3 linked regions of the Tamandua tetradactyla genome follow. The protein of the gene in region 1 interacts with the protein of each later gene in a pairwise test. Links are inferred from orthologs where the notes say so. Each region holds a gene or a part of one and is shown on either strand. Other genes may lie near its edges.

Region 1 (7,561 bases):
AAAGAGCATCACATTACTGTCCAACCAAGGATAGCAGTGTAATAAACATTCATATGCATTTGCAAAGAACTCCCAAATCCATTACGTCTATGAACCTTGCTCCTCTTAAAACTCCACAACTATGTCCAACCACTCTTAGAAAAAGTTCTTAGCACAGTCTGTGCAGCACCATGGGGTCTGGTTCCTGCCTCCACTCCAGCCGTATCATAAACTGTAACCTCATTCATCGCAAGGCCTTTGCAGATGCTGTTCCCTGGGCTTGGAAGGCCTTATACCGTAGCTCCACTTTGCCTCCTTGTGTGCTCATCAAGTCCTATTCTTCCTTCAGACCTCAGTTAAATCATCAGTTATTATAGCTTCATGCATTTATTTGCATGATTCTTTGATTACATGCTGTCCCTCCCACTAGGACTACAAGATCCTTGAGTGCAGAGAATGTTGCTTCTTTCTTCATCATTAGTGTCTGTTGAGACTGTGACCCTGGGAAGGCAGCCTTCTCCTATAACTGCTGTTTCAGGTCTATCTTCCCCATCAGACAGCTGGTTTCTTGGGAAACCTCGATTTTCCTAGAATGCCCCAGAAGACAGAAATGGCCTTCAAAGAGTATCCAGACCAGTCTCAGTAGGGAGATACAGAGAGGAGAGAATGGCATAGAAAGAAGCAGTCTGCTCAAAGTTGAGCAGCCTTCCTCTCCAACCACCCCCCACCCCAGCCTCTGGACTCAGACCTGTGCTTTTCAACCATGTTGCTATAGGTAAGATACCGAGAAAACATATCCACACTAAAAAGAACCAGTTCTGAAATCCAAGAATGAGCTGGGACTCAGCATCAAGGGATTGAGAAAACCTTCTCGACCAAAAGGGACAGAGAAATGAGACAAAATAAAGTGTCAGTGGCTGAGAGATATCAGAATCGAGAGGTTATCCTGGAGGTTATTCTTATGCATTAGGCAGATATCACCTTTTTGGTTCAAGGTGTATTAAAGAGGCTGGAGGGAAGTACCTGAAACTATAGAGCTGTGTTCCAGTAGCCATGTTTCTTGAAGATGATTGTATAATGATATAGCTTTCACAGTGTGACTGTGTGATTGTGAAAATCTTGTGTCTGACACTCCTTGTATCTATGGTATGGACAGATGAGTAAGAAATAATGGATTAAAAATAATAGGGGGAACAAATGTTAAAATAAATTGAATAGATGGAAATACTAGCAGTCAGCGAGAGGGAGGGGTAAGGGGTATGGTATGTATGAGTTTTTTCTTTCTTTTTCCAGAGTGATGCAAATATTTTAAGAAATGATCATGGTGTTGAATATACAACTATGTGATGATATTGTGAGCCATTGACTGTAGGTGTATGGAATGTTTGTATGTTAAGAATGCTTATGTTTGTATGTTGTTTATCAATCAAAATATTTTTAAAAAAAGAACCTGTTCTGAAAGCCTCAAATCTATAAGTGACTTGAAATTATACTTTAATACTGAATGCTGTAAGATATCAGTAATAATGTAATTTATGCAAGGGTGAGGGACAAAAAAATTAAAGACAGTAACTTCTCAGTAAACCAACTGCTCCTCTCCAGTGGATGTAGGGGGCCGCGGGTAAAACCTTTTCTCACTCCCGCCCAAGAAAATGGAGGGAATGGGTGCGCAGGCGCATCAGGCCAGAATGCTTTTTTTTTTTGTCGGGCAGTCTTCTGGGAGGAACCTCAGCCCACCAGTAGGAGGGGTGGGTGCGCAGGCGCAGGTCCACCCACAGAGTAATAGGCGGGGTGGAAGGACTCGCAAGGCCTAGAAAAGAGCAGCAAGGGGTGCGCAGGTGCAGGTGCGTTATACCAGGGCCCTGCTAAGGACAGATCTTCAGGGCAGAGTCTCCAAACTACAAAAGGTTGCGCAGGAGCAGCCAGAATTGAGCCTGCCCACCGGCTGAAACGCTCTGGGGGAGGAGCAGCCAGTCCAAGAAAAAGGCGGGAAGAGGTGCGCAAGCGCAGTCGGACTGGTCTCCACAGGACGTCCCCACCGAGGAGTCACAGCTAAGCTGGCGTGGTAGCCATTTTTTTCTTGCAAGATGGAAAGGCAAAAACTGTCGCTAAACGTTAAAAGTCCTGTGGACCACTCATTCCTTTCTCTTTTTTTCTTTTTGCAAAAAGGCACCAACCCAAGCCCTGTTCAGAGAAAGATTTGTCAAAGCAAAGGCTACCTCTTTTCCCCACTTTCCCCCCCCAACTGCCTACATTGGCGGTTCCGGGCGGGCCTGGGAGCTCCCGGAGCAGGGAAACTACAGCCTGGAAAGGAACTGGCGGTGGGGCATGCCTGCACGGGGCCTGGGAATCTTACCGAAATCGGCGAATGGTGGGCTGGAAACGGGCCTCAGCAGCCTTGGCATCTCCAGTTGACCAGGGTATCCCCTGCCCGCGGCCTCCGCTTCGAACTGGGGTCCCACAGAACCCTGCATCGCCGCCCCGACTCCTTCATTCGGCCTCACGTGGCCGCGGCCTCCCAGAACCGGCTGGAAGGCGCTGGGGCCTGGGCTCGGGCCCGGCGGGGGCCTTTCAAGGAAGCGGGCGGCCGGAGGGCCGGGCTCTGCATTTCTCGCAGCGGAGGGCGGTGGCAGCGGGCAGAGGCTTGATCCGGGGACGGCGACCATGGCCCTGGAGGCAAGCTCCGGCCCCTGCGCGCCCAGGGCTATCTGCTCCTCCTCAGACGTCTCCTTCTTGAGCACCTTCTGCGCCGCCATTATCTTCTGGCGCTCGGTGATCAGATAGCACTTCTCGCAAAGGCACTGCTTCCAGCGGCATTTGCCTGCATGGCCCTTGACCGGCACCAGGAAGCCATGGTTCCGGCATCGGGAGCACTTCGGGGTACGCAGCATCTTGTCGGCCTGCTTGGTAGGGTCTGCTTGTACAACCTCCCCAGACGGTAGCTGCAGAGCGAGTGGAGCAAGGATGAGCGGCGCCCCAGAAGTCCTTGGTGCTGGGGACATTGGATACACTTGTAACAAAGCGGCTGGTGGTACGTCCCGGGAACTGCAGCAAGACCCTTGCAATTGCCCTCCCTTTTGGGGGGGATGCAAAATTTGGAGAGTCCCTGAATCTCTGCGCCTTGGGTAATTAGGTGCAAAGGTTGGGCTGAATACGTTTTTCATGGAATGCTATTGCATGCACGCCATCTGGGTTGTCTGAAGTCTCAGACATTTAATTTTCCAAAGTTCTGATTCCCGCCACCCCAGATAGAAGGTATTTTGCAACTTCAAATAAGGCGGAGTCATATTCAACGGTCCACAGATTTAAAACTCCAGAGGAATGTAGTGCTCTGTAAACCCATTCCAGTAGAAAAGCATTCTCACAGGAAAACCGTGTATCACCTCCCAAAAGCTGCTGCTTCTGCTGAATTTCATTTCTCTCCCCTGCAGAGAAGCAACCGGTCACAGTGTGATGCTTCCAGAATATTCTCAAGAGCTCGGTGCTGTGTGATGATTGCTCCAGGGTAATTCCCAGTTCTTAAAAGAGTCTTGCTGGTACAGGGATGCATTTCTGGAAGGTAGGATATTGCTGTGTTGATGCCTTCCAAAGTAAAACATTCTTAGGACATCTTAAAGTAATATAGTCTCGGGATATTCTACTAACTTGAATCCTGGTTTAGTTTTGCCTTGAATTTAGTGATCTCTGTAAACCAATCCAAATCTCAGGATACCTGAAAAGTGACACTCTGAGGTCTTTTGTTGTTGTTGTTTAGGTTTAAAAAAGAGAACAAGAGAAAGGGGCCATCAGTGCCTAGGTGACAGGGTCAGTCATATAATTATTTAAGGAGGTAGTTGTGGTTAATATATATATGCATATATTATATATATATATGGCCCCATAGGTAAAAAGCAGGCAAGCACTTTTTTTTTATTTCACCCAGTTCAGAATGTCTTAAGTTTTTCACTGATCTAGTCATTTGAAAATGTTACTTAAAATCTTGGCTTCAGTACTGCCACCAAAAAATCTGGGGCATAAGCTGCATAGTTTCATGATACTGCAGATTATAAGATCATTTTGTGCAATATCAAATTTAAATTGTGATATCAGATGATGATACTTTAAAAAATAACTACTCTCATTTACATTTCATGCTCGACTATCCAAGCTTTCTTCATTTTCTCATTAATGATTTAAAGAAAAATCCTGTTCAAAAAAAAGAAAAATCCCATTTAAAGCAAAGTATTTGAATTAACATATTTTATAGTCTTGTTAACTACAAAATGCTTCCATATTTACTTCATAGCTTTAGGGGCAAAATACACCCAAGTTGATGTGAATTGGCATAGTGCTTTGAGAACATTAATAAACAACATAATATCTTTTTAATCAGTAGTCACATAATAAGATGCAGAAACCCCAGGGTTGATATTGTAAACAAATCTAAGAAAAGAAAAAAGATTATTTCTTTATTCCCCCCCAAAGTCTCAATTTGTGTAGGTAAATTCCAGCAGAGCTTTATTTATTTCACTCCTGGAAATTCAGGAAAATTGATAGTTTTGTTTTATTTGGTTTGATAACTGAGGCTGATGATGAAATGAGATGTTGCTTTTTGTTTTTAATATATACATTTGTTGTTATTTAAAAGATGGGAACATGATGTAAAAGTGGAAAACTGGAAGTCAGAAAAACATGGGAGCAGAAAGCACACAGTAGACCCCTTCCTTCTCCACACCTAAATCTTAAAACATTTATGTTTTAAGAAAATCTGAATTACAGACAGTCATTTATAAAAGGACAGATTACAGTTGCTGAGAAATCACCGGTTTGCTAGAGAGTCTGGGGTAGTGATCATATCTGGCTCCCAACTTCAGGTATGGCTCCCTTTTCCCTTGGGAAAAAGTTTCCAAGTTTCCTATATAATTCCTCTTCACATCAGTTAATATGAGTACTTTTGGTATTGTTAATTCATTCATTTTAAAGAGCCTTGTATTACACAGTGTACATGGGTATCATCTATAATCATTAAATATTGCATGCATTGTAATGTTTCCCTACTGGTAGCACAGTAGGAGTAAGGAAGGGCTCTTTTGTCTATAGTATCCCTCCCCCAGCAGCTATAACCCATACATATATTGTGAGCATGAAAACTTTAATGAAGATTTTGTAAAGGAGATGGGAGAGGATTTACATTACACATACCATAGTAGATGCTTTGAAATCCTGCATTAGCATTTCTGTTATCTCAAAACCCTCCTCTGCTGTGCCATACCCAGTGAAGATATATTGATCTGTCCTTCCCCTGAAACGCAGTGCCCAGCATTGCTGACTCCTCTGGCCTTTCTTGATTTTTGTCAGCTTTCTGGGGATTAAGGCTGTTGCTATCTTATTTTTCTTTGTTCCTCGTCTGTTTAAAATTCCTAGCAGAGGTCAGATGAATCAATCATTGGTGCCCCAGAGTAAGGAGGAAAAACCTTGCCTAGCCCATAGTGGAAATTCATTAAATATTTGTTGCATATACAAATAAATCCTGCCTCCCTCTTCTGCCGAAGCCAAAGTTATCTCCTCCCTAATTTGCACAGTAAATCAGCTTGGTTTCAGCAGTTTTCCCCAAACATTATACTAGTGTTCAGCAAAATAGAGAGCCCACAGTGACCTCTTTCCTAACATAACAAGATTGGGGTATCAACTTTGATTCCTTGAGCTCACCCCACACCCTTATATCCCTAGTGGTGTAATAATAGTAAAAGTATTTATTGGTGCCAGGAATTCTTAAGTTCTTTATGTATAGTAATTTTTATAATTTTCATACTCTTTAAGGTAGTTACCACAGTATTGCCTTTGTTTTGCACATGAAGAAACTGAGGCCTAGAGAAGTTGAGTAACTTGCCCAAGATTTCACAGCCAGTAAGTGACAGATTCAAAACCAGGAAATCTGACCTTAAAGTTCACGCTCTTAACCAGATATTTGCTAACCAAATATTTCTTCTAAACAAGTGCTCTCCCCAAGAAAGCTTTGGTGATGAGTAGAAGTGTTCATCTTAGTCTAAACTCATTACAATTGAGGCAAAAGTAGTTGAAGGTGGTAGCAACTTGGGGAAACTTCCTAGGATATTCCACTGCTTTACTCCACCCATAGCCAATATGTATTGAGTGCCAGCTGTGGACTAAGGATAAAGGACAGGGAAGTAAATTTAAAAAAAAAAAAAAAAAAAAAGAGGATCCTTGCTGTTCTAGTTTGTAAGCTGCCAGTATGCAATATACCAGAAACAGAACAGCTTTTATAAGGGAGAATTTATTAAGTTTTAAGTTTATAGTTCTAAGGCAGTGAAAATGTCCCAATTAAAGCAAGTCTATACAAATATTCAAATTAAGATATCTAGAGAAAGATACCTTGGTTCAAGAAAGCCGATGACATTCAGGGTTTCTCCCTCAGTTGAAAGGCACATGGTGAACATGGCGACTTCTGCTAGCTTTCTCTCCAGGCTTCTTGTTTCCTGAAGCTTCCCCAGGGGCATTTTCTTTCTTCATCTCTGAAGATCTCTGGCTGCGTGGGCTCCCTTGGTTCTCATGGGTCTGTTGCTCTAAAGGTTTTTCCAAAATCGTTCCATCTTAAAGGGCTCCAGTAAGCAACCTCATCTTCAGTGGGTGGAGACACACCTCCATGGAAATCTTCTAATCAAAGGTTACCACCTACAATTGGGTGGGTCACATCTTTGCGGAGATAATCTAATCACATGCAGTGCTGAATAGGGATTAAAAGAAACAGCTGCCTCCCCAAGATAAATCAGGATTAAAACATGGCTTTTGTGGGGTACATAATCCTTTCAAACCAACATACTTGCCTTTAGGCATACATTCTAGCTGTCAATACAGACAGTAAACAATAATTTCAGTATGATGAAAGCAGGGGGAATGGTGGAGTGGCAAGGAGCCCAGGATGCTTTCAGAGCCAATATGGAGGCTCTAACCAGGTTTGAGAGACCAAGGAAGACTCCCAGAGGGACTGATTGCTAAGCTGAGGCCCAGAGGAAGAGTAGGAATTAGCTAGCTACAGAAGCAGGAGAAGTATGTCTGGGGCAGAAAGAACATGTTTGAAGGCCTGCAGCATGGCTGTCATACAGCAAAGTTGGGAGACTGGGGAGAGAGGAGGTGGAGAGATAGGTAGCCGTTAGATCATGGAGGGAGTCCTTGGGGCACATGATAGGCATCACTTATCTAAGACTGAAGAGAGAAGAGACATGGAAGAGCCAGAAAACCGGAACCCACAGATCCAGATATCTAGTTCCTGCTCTTGGTTCTTCTCTCAGAAGCCAGGGATGTTAAGTGGGGCAATAAGTAATTAGGACTTGGCATAGGTATTGCAAGATTAAAATGGTGTTGAATGGGATTTTCTTTTGGGTGGTTGTTCCATGTGGGATACACACTCAAGGCTAGCCACGAACCTGAGCCAGCACTGTGAGCTAGGCAAGGGTTTTTCTCCTCACCCTAGGACACTATTGATTGGTTCATCTGACCTTTCCTAGGAATTTTAAGCAGACAGGGACAAAGCAGTGATGGAAGACAAAGGAGTAAGAGAAAAATAAGAGAAGGGAGAATAGCA
Region 2 (7,181 bases), on another chromosome or scaffold:
GCTTTACAGATTCTATCAGTTAGAAGTTGAGTTTGGCTGCATGTGGAAAACTACCTACAGAGGCTCAATCAAATGGGAACTTATTTTTCTCATACAACAATAAATTAGACGTAGGCAGACTTAGGCTGTTATGAAGGCTCTGCAATACCATTCTTAGTACGAGCTCTTGACCTCATGGAGAAAAGATGTCTGCTGTTTTTCCAGTCTGTGTTCCAGGAAGAAGGAAGGGTGAAAGGCAAGAGGCAAAGGATTAAGGGCAAAAAGCAAAGAGCCTTTTCTTCCCATGGTCTTTCTTATTAATTAGGAACAGTTACCAGCTTCAGTGACTTCTACTTACACCTCCAAGGCCAGAGCTGTGTTACATGGCCACACTTAGCTAATAGGAAGCTTGGGAATTCAATAGTCGTAAACTGGCAGACTCCTGCCCTGAACACAAATGGGGTTTCAATAATAAGGAATTAAGAAGAGAATAGATAATGGGCTGGCTGCTATCAGTGCCTGTCAAACAAATGTAGAAGCTGGGCCTCAGAGAGGCTAAGGATTTTGTCTGAGCTCAGGTATATGAGGTCAGATCTAACCCATGTCTATTTGACACAAGAGTCCGTGTTCTTGACCACTAGGAGGGATAAGCAACTTACCATGATGCATTGCAACTGTTTTTTTTTTTTTATTTGTTCATCTCTTCCTTCCCTAGACTGTGAATAAATTTTATGGTACCATGATATCCTAGACACGTGCCCATATTTCTCAAATAAATGTTATCACTGTAGTCGTTTTTGCAGCTAGAAATTCTTTCTAGGAAATATGTTTTGTCTCTTCCCCTTTAATATTTTATAGGCACCTGTCTTTAAACAGGTAGTTTCAGATTTACATAAAAGAAATGATATTGGTCATTGTGCTGCTCTGGACACACATGGCCTCTTGCACTATTGTAGGCTTCTATTCTCCATTTTCTTAATGTTTGTTTATGGGGCAGACTCCATTTTCCCTTTGTTTTGCCTGGTCATTCAAACATTTCTATACTGCATTGCTCTATTTCTTAGGGATTTGAGAGCTACTTGAATAACATAATAATTTGAGTCATAGGCAGTCCTGATAGTAAGTCTCATTTCTTGCAGGGTTATTGGGCAGCTCAGGAAGGACTTAGCATCATTTAGATTTCAGTATTTTGGTAAGAAGGTAGGGAGGGGAGAAGAATTCTTTTTTTTTGGAAGTGTTTTTCTTTTGTTAATTTTTTTAAATTTAAGAATACAAATACACTTAGAACCACCAAAAATGTATATCTTACTTAGCTTAACCGTAGGCATATTTAAATAAAGTATCCATATAATCATTATAAAGCCTGTGTTTGTGCAGTAAGTTTCACAAACCAATTTAAAATTGAGGCAACAAGGAAAAAGGGAAAAAGAATTCTTAAGGCACCAGTTCAGTAAGTAAAATTTTCAGAAAACCAACCATTGATGTCTCTAGGTTTAAAAAAAAAATCCATCATTGTTTCACAGACCACCAGGAAACATCCTGATTTTTCTTCAAAGATATAATACTTAGTTGGATGGGATCAGGCCCATCTGCTCTAGGGTACTGTCAACAGAAGACCCCTGACTTAGAATGGGGATGTCTAATTCAACTCAAGTACAAATTTTTAGGCACTTGAACTTCCAACTTGATGGCCCAAATGACCATATAAAGACATGTCTGGGCTTTTATTTCTAACCCCCTGGCCCCCTGGCCAGAAGCTTAGCAACACTAAATAAATAATATGATAAATAATTACCACCTATTAAACAGTTATTATATGGTAGGCTGTGTGCTAAGACTTGTACTTGTTTTATTTAACAACAATGTGACTATTATAATTGCCATCTTACAAACGAGCATTTGAAAGTTTATTGAAAATAAACTGCCCAACATAGTAGTTGCACCAAGGGAAGCTTTGTTCACCCCACCCCAATCTCTAGTGGCCCCACCCAAGCCCCCTCATATAATTAAAACAAAACAAAAACAGTGATGGTCATAGTCTTTGATTTTCACAATGGGCATTTTTTTCACTGTCATTTAAAGTGTGAATAAAATAATAATGGGAATAATAATAGTTAATATTTAATGAATGTTCACTATAGATCACGTCTGTTTGAAGTTCTTAATATGTGATATCTCATTTAATCCTCACAATAATTCTTTGAGGGAGATACTATCATTATCTTAATTTTCAAATGAAACTGAGAGGTTAAGTCATTTTCACCAGGCTTCCTTGTTTTTAAGCAGCAGAACTAAATCTTGGCTGTTGTTATCGATCCATAACACACAACCTTAGTAAAACAATGTGTTTACTGTGACAACACAGGTTCAAGACAAGTCCTCCATTCCTTCCTCCCACATTGGAGGCCTTAATTCCTCCTACATAGAACTTTTTAGTTGCAAAAATACATGGGCACTGGGTCCTAAGGCCCAGTTCAAACCTGGGTTGGTGTGACTCCAAAACAGGAAACTTTACCAGCCCTCTACGATTCCACAATTAGCCAGGTTTAAACCCAAGTCCAAAGGCCAAATTATAGACCCATCTGGAAATGACCCATCTGGAAACCCAGAGTTTCTCAACCTTGGCTGGATAATTTTGGGACGGATAAGCCTTTGTTGTGGGTACTGTCTTGATGATGTCAAGCAACATACTTGACTTCTACCTATTAGATGCCAGCAGCACCCAATTTAACAACCAAAAATGTCTCCAGACATTGACAAATGTCCTGGGGCTGGGTGAGTGGGGAGGGTGGGGAGGAAGGCCAAATCATGCAGCTGGGGTCCAAAGAGGTGAAATAACTTGTTTAAGTTAGGTTCATTGTAAACCTGTAAAGTAGAGGACACAATAGGCAACCCTGGAAAAATAGATGCTGTCCTGGTCTTTACAGTCTGGTAGAAGAGAGATGCTATTGTACAGATACCTCTAATTGCGTAAAGTTGATAAGCAATAAAGTGCAGGCAGCCAGGTATAGCGAAAGAATATGACCTGGTGTCTTAGGATCTGCCGCTTTTTAGCTGCAGGACTTAACCAACCTTCAGATGCGTCATCAACGAAACTGTGATCGTGACAACTACTCTGCCTGTAATCACTATATCGGGTCTATGAACGCATTGTGCAAACTGTTATGCTCTTAGAAACAACAGGTATTTTTATGATTATCCGGAATATGAAATTTGTTATTAGAGTAAATGCTCTCAGAACTGGGGAGAGCCATGTAGTGATGGTCTTATTCCTTGACCTTCCAACCGGAGAGTCTCATTCTTCTAAGGGAGAGGCAGCAGGCTAAGAGCCTTCTCCCACAGAACGCCCTTCTTTCCTAGGGAACCAGTGTGGCGAAACCGGAGAACTGAGGTCACGAATCTCTGCACTAGTCCTACTAGAGAGCAGCGCTAGCCGGCCTACGGGTCTCTCAAGCCCCACCTGCCTTAAGCTGAGGCCCCGCCCCTAAAGGGAAGACTCTGGCCCCTTCGCGCAGATACGACTCCAGCCTCCCTGTACCTCCAAGATCGTTCCTCACCCGTACCGGAGATTCCCGAATTTCCCCGAGCTATTTCCGGTTTTCCTCGGGCGGCCGGGGCGAGGGCGACGGAGATTGCCGAGAAGCACTGGTCCCGCCCCCTCGTGGACTGGGCCGCCGCCGCCGCCGCCGCCGCCGCCGCCCCAGCCATAGCCTCCCGCGCGGGCTGGAGTCCTACATCCAGGTCCCTCCCTCCTTCTTTCTCTCTCCCCGCCTTCCCGGAGCTGCCACAGTGGCGGGTCGGAGCATCCCGGCCAGTCAGCTCGAGCCCCTCCTCCCCCCAAATAAACACCCCTCCCCACGCCTCGGCGAGCCGGACCGCCCCCTTCCTCCCTCCGCGAGGCGTGCGAGGGAGAGTGTGAGTGAGCGGGTGCGGGCCGGTGGGCAAGCTTCGTGAGTGTGAGAGGCGGGGCGGCGCGGCGGGCCAGGAGCGGTGTTGCGAGCGTGTTGGTGGGCGGCGAGCGAGTGCCCGCGGCGAGCCGCGAGCGGCCCGGAGCAGGGCGCGGGGCAGCGAGCCGCGGAGCCTGCGAGCGGGAAGCCGCGACCGCGAGCCGCAGAGGGGCGCCGGCCTGCCCGCGCGCACGCACGCACGCACGCGAGGGGGGCGGGGGCAGGCGCGCGCCCGCCTGTCGCGACAGTCGGGGCCGAGGCCCAGGGGGAGGTGGCCTGTCGCGGGTCGCCCGGCTCCCGGAGGCGAGGGGGGCGCGGGCGGATGGCGGAAGGCGCCCAGCCGCAGCAGCCGCCTCAGCTCGGGCCGGGTGCCGCTGCCCGGGGGATGAAGCGGGAGTCGGAGCTGGAGCTGCCGGTGACCGGAGGGGGAGGAGACGGAGCCGAGCCTGGCCTGAGCAAGCGGCCGCGCACAGAGGAGGCGGCTGCCGACGGCGGCGGGATGCAGGTGACCGCGCGGGACGGGCACCCCGTTATCGTGGGTGTGCGGAGTGGGACCTGAGGGGTGGCTCCAGGCTCCCGGGGCTTGGAGAGGAGGAGGGCTTTCGGGGGTCTTGAGCTGGAGGTGGGAGGGGGGCCGGTCGAGGCCTGTTTGGAAGGTGGGGCGAGCTCTGGCTTGGAGGCGAAGGGTGCAGTAGGATCCTGGTGTGCCCTGGAGAGTCCTTATTCCTGAGGGGACGAGGAGACTGACGAGGGAATAGGTTTTTTGGGGAAATCCAGAACATGGTTGAGATGGATTCCATTTTTCATAGTTTGCTAGGGTGGAGTGAAAGCCGGAAAGCCTGGGTCTTTTGCCTAGAGGAGAGCCGCTGGGCTGAATCGAGGACGAGGGGGCAGGGGTGGAAAACCTCCCGAAAAGGAGGAGTACGTTTTTGGCAGCCCTTGACACATACTGGGATGAGGCTGGGGAGAGGCTTTTGAAGGAGGTGAGTGAAAGGCGAGAAAACTCCTAGAGAGAGCCGAAAGGGGATGTGGCTTAGATTGTGGGTTAAATCAGTTACTCAGCGAGTGTGAAGTGCAAGGAGTTTGGTAGTGTTGTGGGGACACTGTGATACTAAGCCTCGTTAACTTCGTGGAGCATGTTAATGAACCTGAAGAGAGACACAAGAAATGCTTCTGCTGTGCTTTGCCAATTGCATCCTACATAGCCAGGACACGTGAAAGGTCTTTAGTACCCTGAGGATATAAAAGAAAATTTATAGGACTGTTAGAAGGCTGGATTCTGAGTTGTGGACTCGAGGATAAGCTAGTTGATTTAGAAATGGGAAATGGAGTGACGATGTCAGTGTCTTTGTAGGTCTTAGTATTTGGTCTCCATTCAGAAAATACTTGCTTTGAAATGATGGGGCTCAGGTACCAACGATTGTTTAGAGAACTGCCTAATTCTCTTAGAATCATAGAATGTTAGCGATTAGAAGGAACCAGAACCATCATCTTTTCCAGGGGTTCTTACCCTGGATAGATTGAAGAATCCTTTGCAAAATAGTGTACGTATACTTTTTTGGGGGGGAGAGCGTCAATAGTTTTCATCTTTTTAAAATTGTTTATGAAGATTCAAGTCCCAAAATATTTTGACCACCTCATTTTATAGATGGGAAATCGTAAGTCCAGAGAGACAACTAGCAACTTACCTAAAGGTATCAGTTAGCTGATGGTAAAGCTAGAATATTACTTTACCCTGGTATTCTTATTCCTATTCCTGTGTCTCTTCATTTAACTACTCTTGGAAATCTGTGCAATGCTAAAAGACTTCCTGTGTTTTCCTCCCTGCTTTTCAAGGCTCTGCCTGACTTCCTGTGTTGGTGAAGGAGCTGTACTTAGGCCTGGCATGGTTGCTGTATGCTTCTTGGTCTTCTTTGCAGAGGCTTCTTCTTTGCAGAAGTATTTTTACTTCTTTTGGTTTGGATATAGTGACTCTCTTGGTGTTTATTTTTGAATTCGTTTGTTTTGTGTGCCTGCTTTTGTTGCCCATTAGAATTTTGTCAGGCAAAGGGATTGTGAGAAGTAAAAGCTCAGGACCATGGAAAATAATAGAGAGGAATATGGGGAGACTTAAGGTGAGGTGGATTAACATTGGATGGTAAGTTGGGGGACACTGGATGTGGGTCCTGGTGAGCATGTTTTGCTTGATGTGTCCATTCATGAATGTATGTATTCTTTTATTGTTTCTATCAATCATAGTTAATAGGGGGAATCTCCTTCCTCCCCTTTCCTCCCAGAGCTTATTATTGGCCGGCTGCTTTCAAAGTGGCTAAGGACAATAGTATTGAGAAATGGAGTATTGTAGGACCTTTAGGGGTATACAGGGGAAGGAGTGGATTAAGTCCTTTGGGCACAAATGGGCAACTTAGAACTATTCCACAGAGATCCTTTTTTTCTCTCTGGTATTTGTGGCTGTTCTTTATTTTTCACTTCGCACATTCTCAATATGCAGTCCCATTGCAATGTGTCACACAGATTTTCAAATCATCGTTGATGTAGCACCTTACCTTCAACTAGCATGGTTTTGTAAAGATCTCTTTGTTGGGGACTTCTTTTTTCCTTGTAAAATAAAGTGTTTGTACAGAATGATTTCTAAATTACTTTCCAAAAAATATGTCAAGTTTTCTGTCTAGATTGCGAGACTAAATGGGTGAACGTTAAAAAAATGGTATATATGGTTTTCTTTTTAATGTTCCAGAGGAGCAGGAGTAGAGATATCACAGGATAGCTATATCACATGATATTGCATAATTTAGAGCCAAAGGGTACAGAGGATTTATGGTGTCCACTGGGTCCAGGAGAAAGACATGGTCAAGAAAGCTTTGGTGAGAAGTTTGAAACTGAGATATAATAAAGAAGAAATAATATTTATGAAAAGATGATGTTTAAGCCTAGTACTACACTTCTAGGATTTTCTGATACCATTCTGATAATAGTGAAGGGATAATTATTATTCATTTATTCAGTCAACTAATGTTATTGAACAGCTGCTGTGTGCCAGGTTCTGGTTTTATACCTAGGAGACATGGAAGTGAACGAATCAAAGACCCTGCTCTCATGGAACTAATATTCTAATGGGAGGAGATAGATAATAAATAAATCAACAACTTTTATTAGTTAGGTGGTAGTAAATCCTAAAAAGAAAAATAAAGCAGGTAAAGGGATAGAGAATGAGGGAGAGATGGTCAAGAAAGGTCTCTCCAATAGGTGATGTTT
Region 3 (7,369 bases), on another chromosome or scaffold:
TATTTCAGCATGCTGGGGAGCTGCTGCTGTAATCAAAATATTTTAAACACATTGTTCCTTACTTGAAAGAGTCACTCAAGTAGTTGCTCTCAGCATTAGGACAGAAGCATTTGTTCTATCCTGCCAACTCTGTGAACTGTGAAATATTCAAGCTGTTTCCCTCTTAAAATGTTCTTCTTCCAACCATCTCCCCAGATCCAAACCTACTGAACTTTTTGAGATCTAAAACACCATCTCCTCTACAAAGCTTTCCAAAATTCCCTTCATCTACAAGTAACTCATACTCCCAAACTCCGTCCTGCGTTAGCATTTCTTCTTTTTTCATCGCTTACCACTTTATGTGTGGGTTATATTTATTTGGGTTGAAAATGAAGGCTTCCTTCCTCAGACTTTAAATCCTGGCTTTAAAATCAGCAGTCTATGTTCAATTCAGTGCTTGCACAGTGCCCTATATGATGAATATCCTCAATCGACAGTTGCTGAATTCACCAAGAGGCTGATGTGCTATATTGTAAAGAGGACAGACTATGCGTGGGTTTGGGACTGAGCTCCAGTTTGTTGAAAGAAATACCTAGATCAAATCTAAGCACCTTTAATTGTTCATTGTATGACTGTGTGTCTTGGTTTCTTCATATGTGAAATGGATCCCCATATCTATCTTATATAATTGTTTCAAGGTTATAATAAAACCCTAGTAAAGTTAGAGAGACCACATATGACTGATGGTGTTAAGTGGCATGTAGGAAAATAGAGGCAGGGTACGTGGGATGGGGAAAGAAGAGTGTTAAAGAGGGGAATGCAGGGTTATCAATGAAGACTGATTCATTAGTAAAATAAAAAATTCATCAATATATAAAAATAAAGAAACCATTAAGGAAAAGGTAAAACCAATTTTAAAAGGTCATTCCTCAGGGTTAAAGAGCCCTAAAATGTAAAGAATTAAATAACTTTGGCAGAGTTACCCCTCAACCTTACCTTAACTATTACATCTTTGGCTACAATATTCACTGAGATAAAATAAAAATAAAAAAAGAGTCAGGTAAGGTCCTTTGGAATTGCACAGCAGAAAGGAAATGTGGTATAAAAGAAAACTGACTAGGGCGTGGTTGGTAGGACTGACCAGAGGTGTCACAGAGAGACTTAAGGTCTAATAAATCCCACTTTTATATTAATAATAAAAAACCTAACTACATAAGTCATGAATAGTTAAAAAAAAAACTCAGGTTCAGGCATTTAAATATGAACTCTGTCACTTACTATCTGTGGGAATTCAAGTGTTATGTAAGTGCTTACTATCCTCATCTGTAAAATGGTGATTTCAAATACCCACAAGTTTTTTTTTTTTGAAAACTTTAATAAAATGAATGCAAACCACATAGCCCAATTCTTGGCACAAAACAGGCACTGAATAATGTTAGGTATTAACATTAAACATCGTTTTCTTAATTTCTCAAGTTTTTACATACTAACTGCCTGATCCTTCAGGATTCTTTTCATAAACTGAAAACAGTACAGTCACCCAGATTCTGCTGTTTTAAACCTGTGATCTGTCTTCTAATGGGTCCTGGGTTCTTCACTGCCCAAATGACTTCTTAGGGAAACAAAAATCACAGGAAACACACTCATTTCCCAATCTAATTAATTGTTCAATATCTTTCCTCTTCTATTTTCTTTTATAAGCCTATAGTACTTTCATAATAAAAATATATTAAACAATTAAGATAAGAGTTACTGTATCACTCTGACCGCCTTACTCTGGAAGGGGAGAAAACGATGTACAATGTTCTCTAATCTTCACAAACAAATGGCCTGTCATCTTCTTCTACTTCTCTTGTCAATCACTAAAATAATTTTTTTTTAACCCCTTTCACCTCCGGGTTTAATTTTTCCTAGGGACCAGCCCAGCCCCAGGGTGCGCAGAGGGCGGGGAGGCAGTGCTCACAAGCCAGGCGCAGGGAGGCAACGAGGCTGCTGTGGCCAGCCCAATTCCCCTTCCTCCTCCTTTTCTTCCGCAGGGCGCTGTGGTCACTCCCCGTGCCAAAGCCTCCTACCCAATTTGTTCCCTTTGTAGATTCACCCTCGCCCCGTACACTAGGCGGAGAACCCCCAAGCACCTGGGCAACGCACCACAATCAAACTGAGTTGTAGGAGCAGCAGTACTTCTTATGTACTTTCACGTGGCCTTTTTTTTTTTTTCTTCAGGATTTTGGAGGCGGGGAGCGGGGGACGGGTCACAAACTCTTTAAAAAATCCAATAAAAGCTAAGGGCGCTTTCTACTAGAAAAATGACCTCACCAAAATTGTGTATAGACTTTCAGAGTGTTATATAGACCCCCTAAGCCTTCAGGTTAAATCCCCGCCCTGTACCCGCTGGGGATTGGGGAGTGAACGCAGGACACGGGAGAGGCGAAGAGAGTGGACTGAATTCTTTAATGGATACATTACATGTGCATTTAATATGTGTAGATACATACATGAAAAAGCTAAGAGATTACGGGGAAAAAAAGAGTGCTTTCTCCAACTACGCTGTTCTGACTCCGGAGTCGCCAAGGGTCATACAAAGGAGCCGCGACCAACAGGTGGGGACCCCCACCAGGTTCCGCACCCCCAATAAGCAACAGGCCGATGAGGGTGAGGAGGGACAGAAGGAAGGGGCGAGGGCCAGGGTCCGCGCAGAGGGATGGCCCGGCTGCACTCACCGTTGCCCAAGGAGTTCCGGCCCTTCCGGGCCAGGGTCTGCTGCACCTGCTCCTGGATCCGCAGGCTCTTGACCGCCTGGCCACTAAGGCCGCTGTTCCCCGCCAGCTTCAGCTTGGCCTCGGAGGGCAGGGCCAGGCTGGAGCTGTCCAGTTGCCCCAAAATCTGCTGGCCCAAGACAGTCCGGATGTAGCCGCACTCAGCCGGGGAGCCGGGGGCTGCCATGGGGCCGGAGAGGCGACCGATCCGCTCGCCTGCCGTTGTACCTGCGGGCGAAGCCGCGGCGGATCCACGAGAGCAGCTCGATCCCGGTCCCGCCCTCTGGTCCCGCCCCGTTGCCGCCTCCCGCGCTGCTGTGCGGCGTGGACTGGGGGATAGCGCGGCCTCTGGATCCCGGCGCCCAGGCTGGAGTGAGACGGTGCAGCTTCGACCAGATGCGCGCACTCGGGCCGTGAGCGGGAGCAGGAGCGAGGTCGGCGGCGCGCGCGGACACCTGGCGAGATGGCCCGCCAGCGCAAAGGCGCGGAGGCGCGGAGGCGCGGAGGCGGGGAGCCGGGCGCCGCCTGCCCAGGTTCTAAGCACACACTAGGCGTCTTCTCGGATCCGCCTGCCAGGGGCGCGCCCCATTCAGATTAATTTACTCGGCCTTGGCCCAGCCTCTGCAAATGATGTGATTTCCGTTTGATTGAGGCCTCCGGGCAGGTGCGCCCTGAAAGTCACTTCTGTTCTTCGACTGAGGTTTGCTGCCTCTGGGATCCCCGAGTGAGCGGTTTATCTGGTTAGTCATGCTCTGCCAGACTGTTCGAAACGTTTCGTTTTCTGGACCTGGGGGTGAGAAAGACCTGGTTGGTCAAGTGCAAAGGGCAGTACAAGGGGAAATTTGCCAAGAAGATGAAATGCGTGAAATAAAAGACTTTTCAGAAGTTTTTCTTTTTCTTAGTACAAACTTAAAGGACGCCGTGCTTTTTACACAGCTGCAGTCCCAGAAACATATGTTCTTTTCATTGAGAGCTTCTGTTTTCTCTTGCAGAAACACAAATTGTACCCAGTACACACTTTCTCACCCACTCCTCTTATGAACACACCCACGCAGAGAAACTCCAATAAGAGGCAATACGGAAGAGTAGACTTTTAATTAGGCGATACTTCTTAATAGCCCTGCTAATGTTGATCAAGGCAATGTTCATGACAGGCTTTTTGTAAGGGGTGGGGCTCATGGAAGGCACCTCTAATTTTCATTGCATCTTCCACATCTGATATTTATCATGCTATTAATTATTTTTCACACGCAGCGCATGACTCAGAACTTCAGAGTTAAGCTCAACAGAAGGGGTCCTTGACCTCAAAGTTTACCAGTCTCAGCCACTCGACATGAGTTTTCTCTTTGGACTTGAGAGGCAGAAAGAAAAACATCTTTCCTCAGTACTAAGTAGGACAATCTTCCTTTGATTGCTTAGAATTGACCATCCTTTGCATGTTCACTTTCCCTAAAATCACTCAATTGCTGAAAAACTCCACTTATTCAAGTTTGGAGTGGCTGGAGAACCCAGCTTTCCTCTTCCTCATTTTCCCACCCAGACCTTCTACCCTTAGACAAACACTTAATGTGCAGGTGGTACCTGGCCTCTGTTTTTACATGAGCTTCCGGAGAGTGAGGAGGAAAGGGCTAGAAGCCTGAACAACCAAATGGTGACAATTCTGTCACCTTTTCTCAGCATGGCCTTAGCCATGTGGAATATACAGCTTCACTGGGAGCCATGTGGATAGTGGGTCTTGGAAGATGGTTCCCATCCCAGCAAGCCCAATCTTTAGATAAATTGCCACCTTTTCAAAAGCTCAATTATTTGGCCAGGTATAAACATCCAACCCTGATGCTGAGATATAGCTTAGGAAGAGAGGGGTGAGAGGGAAGGGGAAAGTGCTAATAAAGATTTCCAACAACAAACTTGTTTCCTGTCCTCCTCTGCATTCCTTACGTTTATTCTTGCCTCTTTATCTTTGAAAGGTGATTTCAGGGTCTGCTGGGACTTCTCATTTGTCTGTGAGCTCTGTCTCCATCTAGATCTCTTACCTGGCTTTATTTCATTTCATTTATTTTTTATTTTTATTAATAAAACCAACATACAATATGAACATTATTTTTTATCACACAGTTGTATATTCATCATCATGATCATTTTTAAAAACATTTGCATCAATTCAGAAAAAGAAATAAAAATAAAACTGAAAAAAAATTCATACATACCATACCCCTTACCCCTCCCATTCATTGATCGCTAGTATTGCAATCTACTAAATTTATTTTGACATTTGTTCCCCTATTATTCATTTATTTTTAATCCATATGTTTTACTCATCTGTCCATAAGGTAGATAAAAGAAGCATCAGACACAAGGTTTTCACATCACACAGTCAGGTTGCGAAAGCTATATCATTATACAATCATCTTCAAGAAACATGGCTACTGGAACACAGCTCTACATTTTCAGACCGGGCTTTATTTTAATCAGTTAGACTTCATTTATATTTTTCTCCCCAATTATTTTTTTCTTTTTAAGTGTGATATTGTATTGGATTATCCTATGAGGTGTGTACTGATACTGAGCATGTGGAAACATTATCACTAGGTAGATAGGTGAGTTGGCAGTAGGAGAATGGTTAAAAATAGAGCTTTTAAGCCAGGAGGATCTGGGTTCAAATTATAGCTATCTTTTGGAAATAATGGAGCTGTAAGCTAGTTTCTTTACATTTTTTTAAGCTGTAAAAGTTTTCTTATTTGTAAAATGGGAGCAATAAAAGTGTCTACCCTATAGTGCTGTTGTGAACACTAAACAACGAGTGGCACATAAGTGTACAGTAAATAATTGTTCAATGATCTTTGACACATCTCCCAGAGATCTGCTTTCAGACTCCCTTACCCCTTCAGGTCTCTGCTTAAATGTCAATGCATCAACTAAGTGTGACCCTTTCACATGCACACAGTCACTCACTATCTCCTTTCTCTGCTTAATTTTTCTCCATAGTACTTATCACAATTGCTTTATGTTTTACTAATTGAATTGTTGACTGTTTTGCTCCTGGAATATAAAGCTCCATGAAAGCAGGGATTTTTGTTTTGTTCACTGCTGCCCTCTGGGACCCAGAATAGTACACATAGTAGACAATGGATATCTGCTGAATGAATGAATTAATAAATGATTAATGAATAAAATCACTTAGTACATTGTATAGTATATAATATATGTTCAACGACTGTTAGTATTATTTAAGCACTTATACTTTTTTGGTAACTTTTTACCATCTTTTAAAAAGTTACATAGATATTACATATTCTAGATCATAAATTAAAAACAAACTAAAGCAAAATGAAGTTTTAAATTTTCAAATACCTACAGAATTCAATAGTTTCAGGAGAATGATCTCTTTGAAATAAGATAAACATATAAACCATTAAAAAGAGCCCTTTGGAGTGGGAATCCCGTTGCAGTAACAATTGTTAATCACTGGGTGAGGAAGTATCAGTTTTCTGGCAATGTGCCCATAAAAGTTATCTAGATATGCTTCTATTCCAACTGAGTGCAGGCCCTGTCATGTCCTCTGCATTTCCTGGGAATGCTGCCTAGCCGACTTCCTAAATTGTGAGCAAGCCCTGAGATAACAGTTAAAGGAAGCATTCTAACATCCTAGCCAACAAAATGAAGCAGGGAAATAAAATGCTGTGAATACTTTTGTAGTATTCAGTTGTTCTAATATCATCTATTTTTTGGTGTTTAGGTTCAGCTTTGAAAACTTTCTTTTGCTTTTCACTAATCAACAGAATGTATTTAAAAAAAGGAAAACCACAGGAATGTTGAAGTGGAATGTAAATAACAGATAACTGAATTGAGACTACAAATACTTCTACTGCTAACCTATAATAAAGATTCAGAAATTCTTGGATTTTAAACTTGTGTTTTTATCTGATTTACACACTATAGCCTTGAAGCATTAATGTTTCTTTGTTTTCAAATCTATAGTTAGGGTTTCCTTAGAGTAATCTTTATTTTCTTTAGCCATATACAAATTCCAATGTGGGTAATTCAATATACTAAATATTCAGTAAATTACTAGAAGATCAAATACAGAATAACTTTTAGAGCAGAAATCATTTTAATGGAGATAATTGGAGAATATTAGTGGCACCCAAACTCTTTGATTCGTATTAAAAAGGAACTCGAACACATTTCCCTGAGTGTCTTTGCTCATGAAATATTTTACTGCTACTATTTCTAGGCTATGAATAGCTACTGCTTTTAAAAATATTTCCTAAATTAGTGCAAGGAAACTGGCAGATAGAAAAGTTAAAGTAAACCTTAGAGTTGTTTCCTCTTTTAGTAAATGTATATGTTGCCAAGACAATCGGTCGCAGTTTTATCCTGAGCCATGTGTAATGAAGCTGTGAGCTGGGAAAGGAAGCTATGAACACGTAGTGCTGAAAAACTCATGCCGAGAGGGTCTTTCAACAGCAGTGCGGATTGAGGTGTTTATGTTAATTCACATGTTCATTTTGCCTGCTATTCTGGGTGCATTGTGAGTGTGTGGGTCTGAAACCTTTGAAAATGCAGTGTGGGAGGTGGAAACTAGGTGGGCAACTACAAGGGCTGGCAATCAGCAGTTTGTGCATAGTCACTGA

The links. The genes of interacting proteins can lie anywhere in the genome.
Region 2: the proteins of DMRTB1 (region 1) and RBFOX2 interact in a two-hybrid assay, tested with the Homo sapiens proteins (3 studies listed by BioGRID). The link is inferred for Tamandua tetradactyla from reciprocal best matches to the Homo sapiens genes DMRTB1 and RBFOX2.
Region 3: the proteins of DMRTB1 (region 1) and PKP2 interact in a two-hybrid assay, tested with the Homo sapiens proteins (2 studies listed by BioGRID). The link is inferred for Tamandua tetradactyla from reciprocal best matches to the Homo sapiens genes DMRTB1 and PKP2.

The regions. Positions count from the first base shown.
Region 1 is NC_135328.1:168,179,776-168,187,336, forward strand, and holds the start of DMRTB1 (doublesex- and mab-3-related transcription factor B1), read right to left. Parts: upstream 3,012-7,561; 5' UTR 2,982-3,011; coding exon 2,336-2,981; intron 1-2,335.
Region 2 is NC_135333.1:28,467,137-28,474,317, reverse strand, and holds the start of RBFOX2 (RNA binding protein fox-1 homolog 2), read left to right. Parts: upstream 1-4,170; 5' UTR 4,171-4,248; coding exon 4,249-4,431; intron 4,432-4,531; exon of another isoform or gene 4,532-7,181. UniProt on the Homo sapiens protein: RNA-binding protein that regulates alternative splicing events by binding to 5'-UGCAUGU-3' elements. Prevents binding of U2AF2 to the 3'-splice site.
Region 3 is NC_135333.1:96,246,269-96,253,637, forward strand, and holds the start of PKP2 (plakophilin-2), read right to left. Parts: upstream 3,012-7,369; 5' UTR 2,923-3,011; coding exon 2,700-2,922; intron 1-2,699. UniProt on the Homo sapiens protein: A component of desmosome cell-cell junctions which are required for positive regulation of cellular adhesion.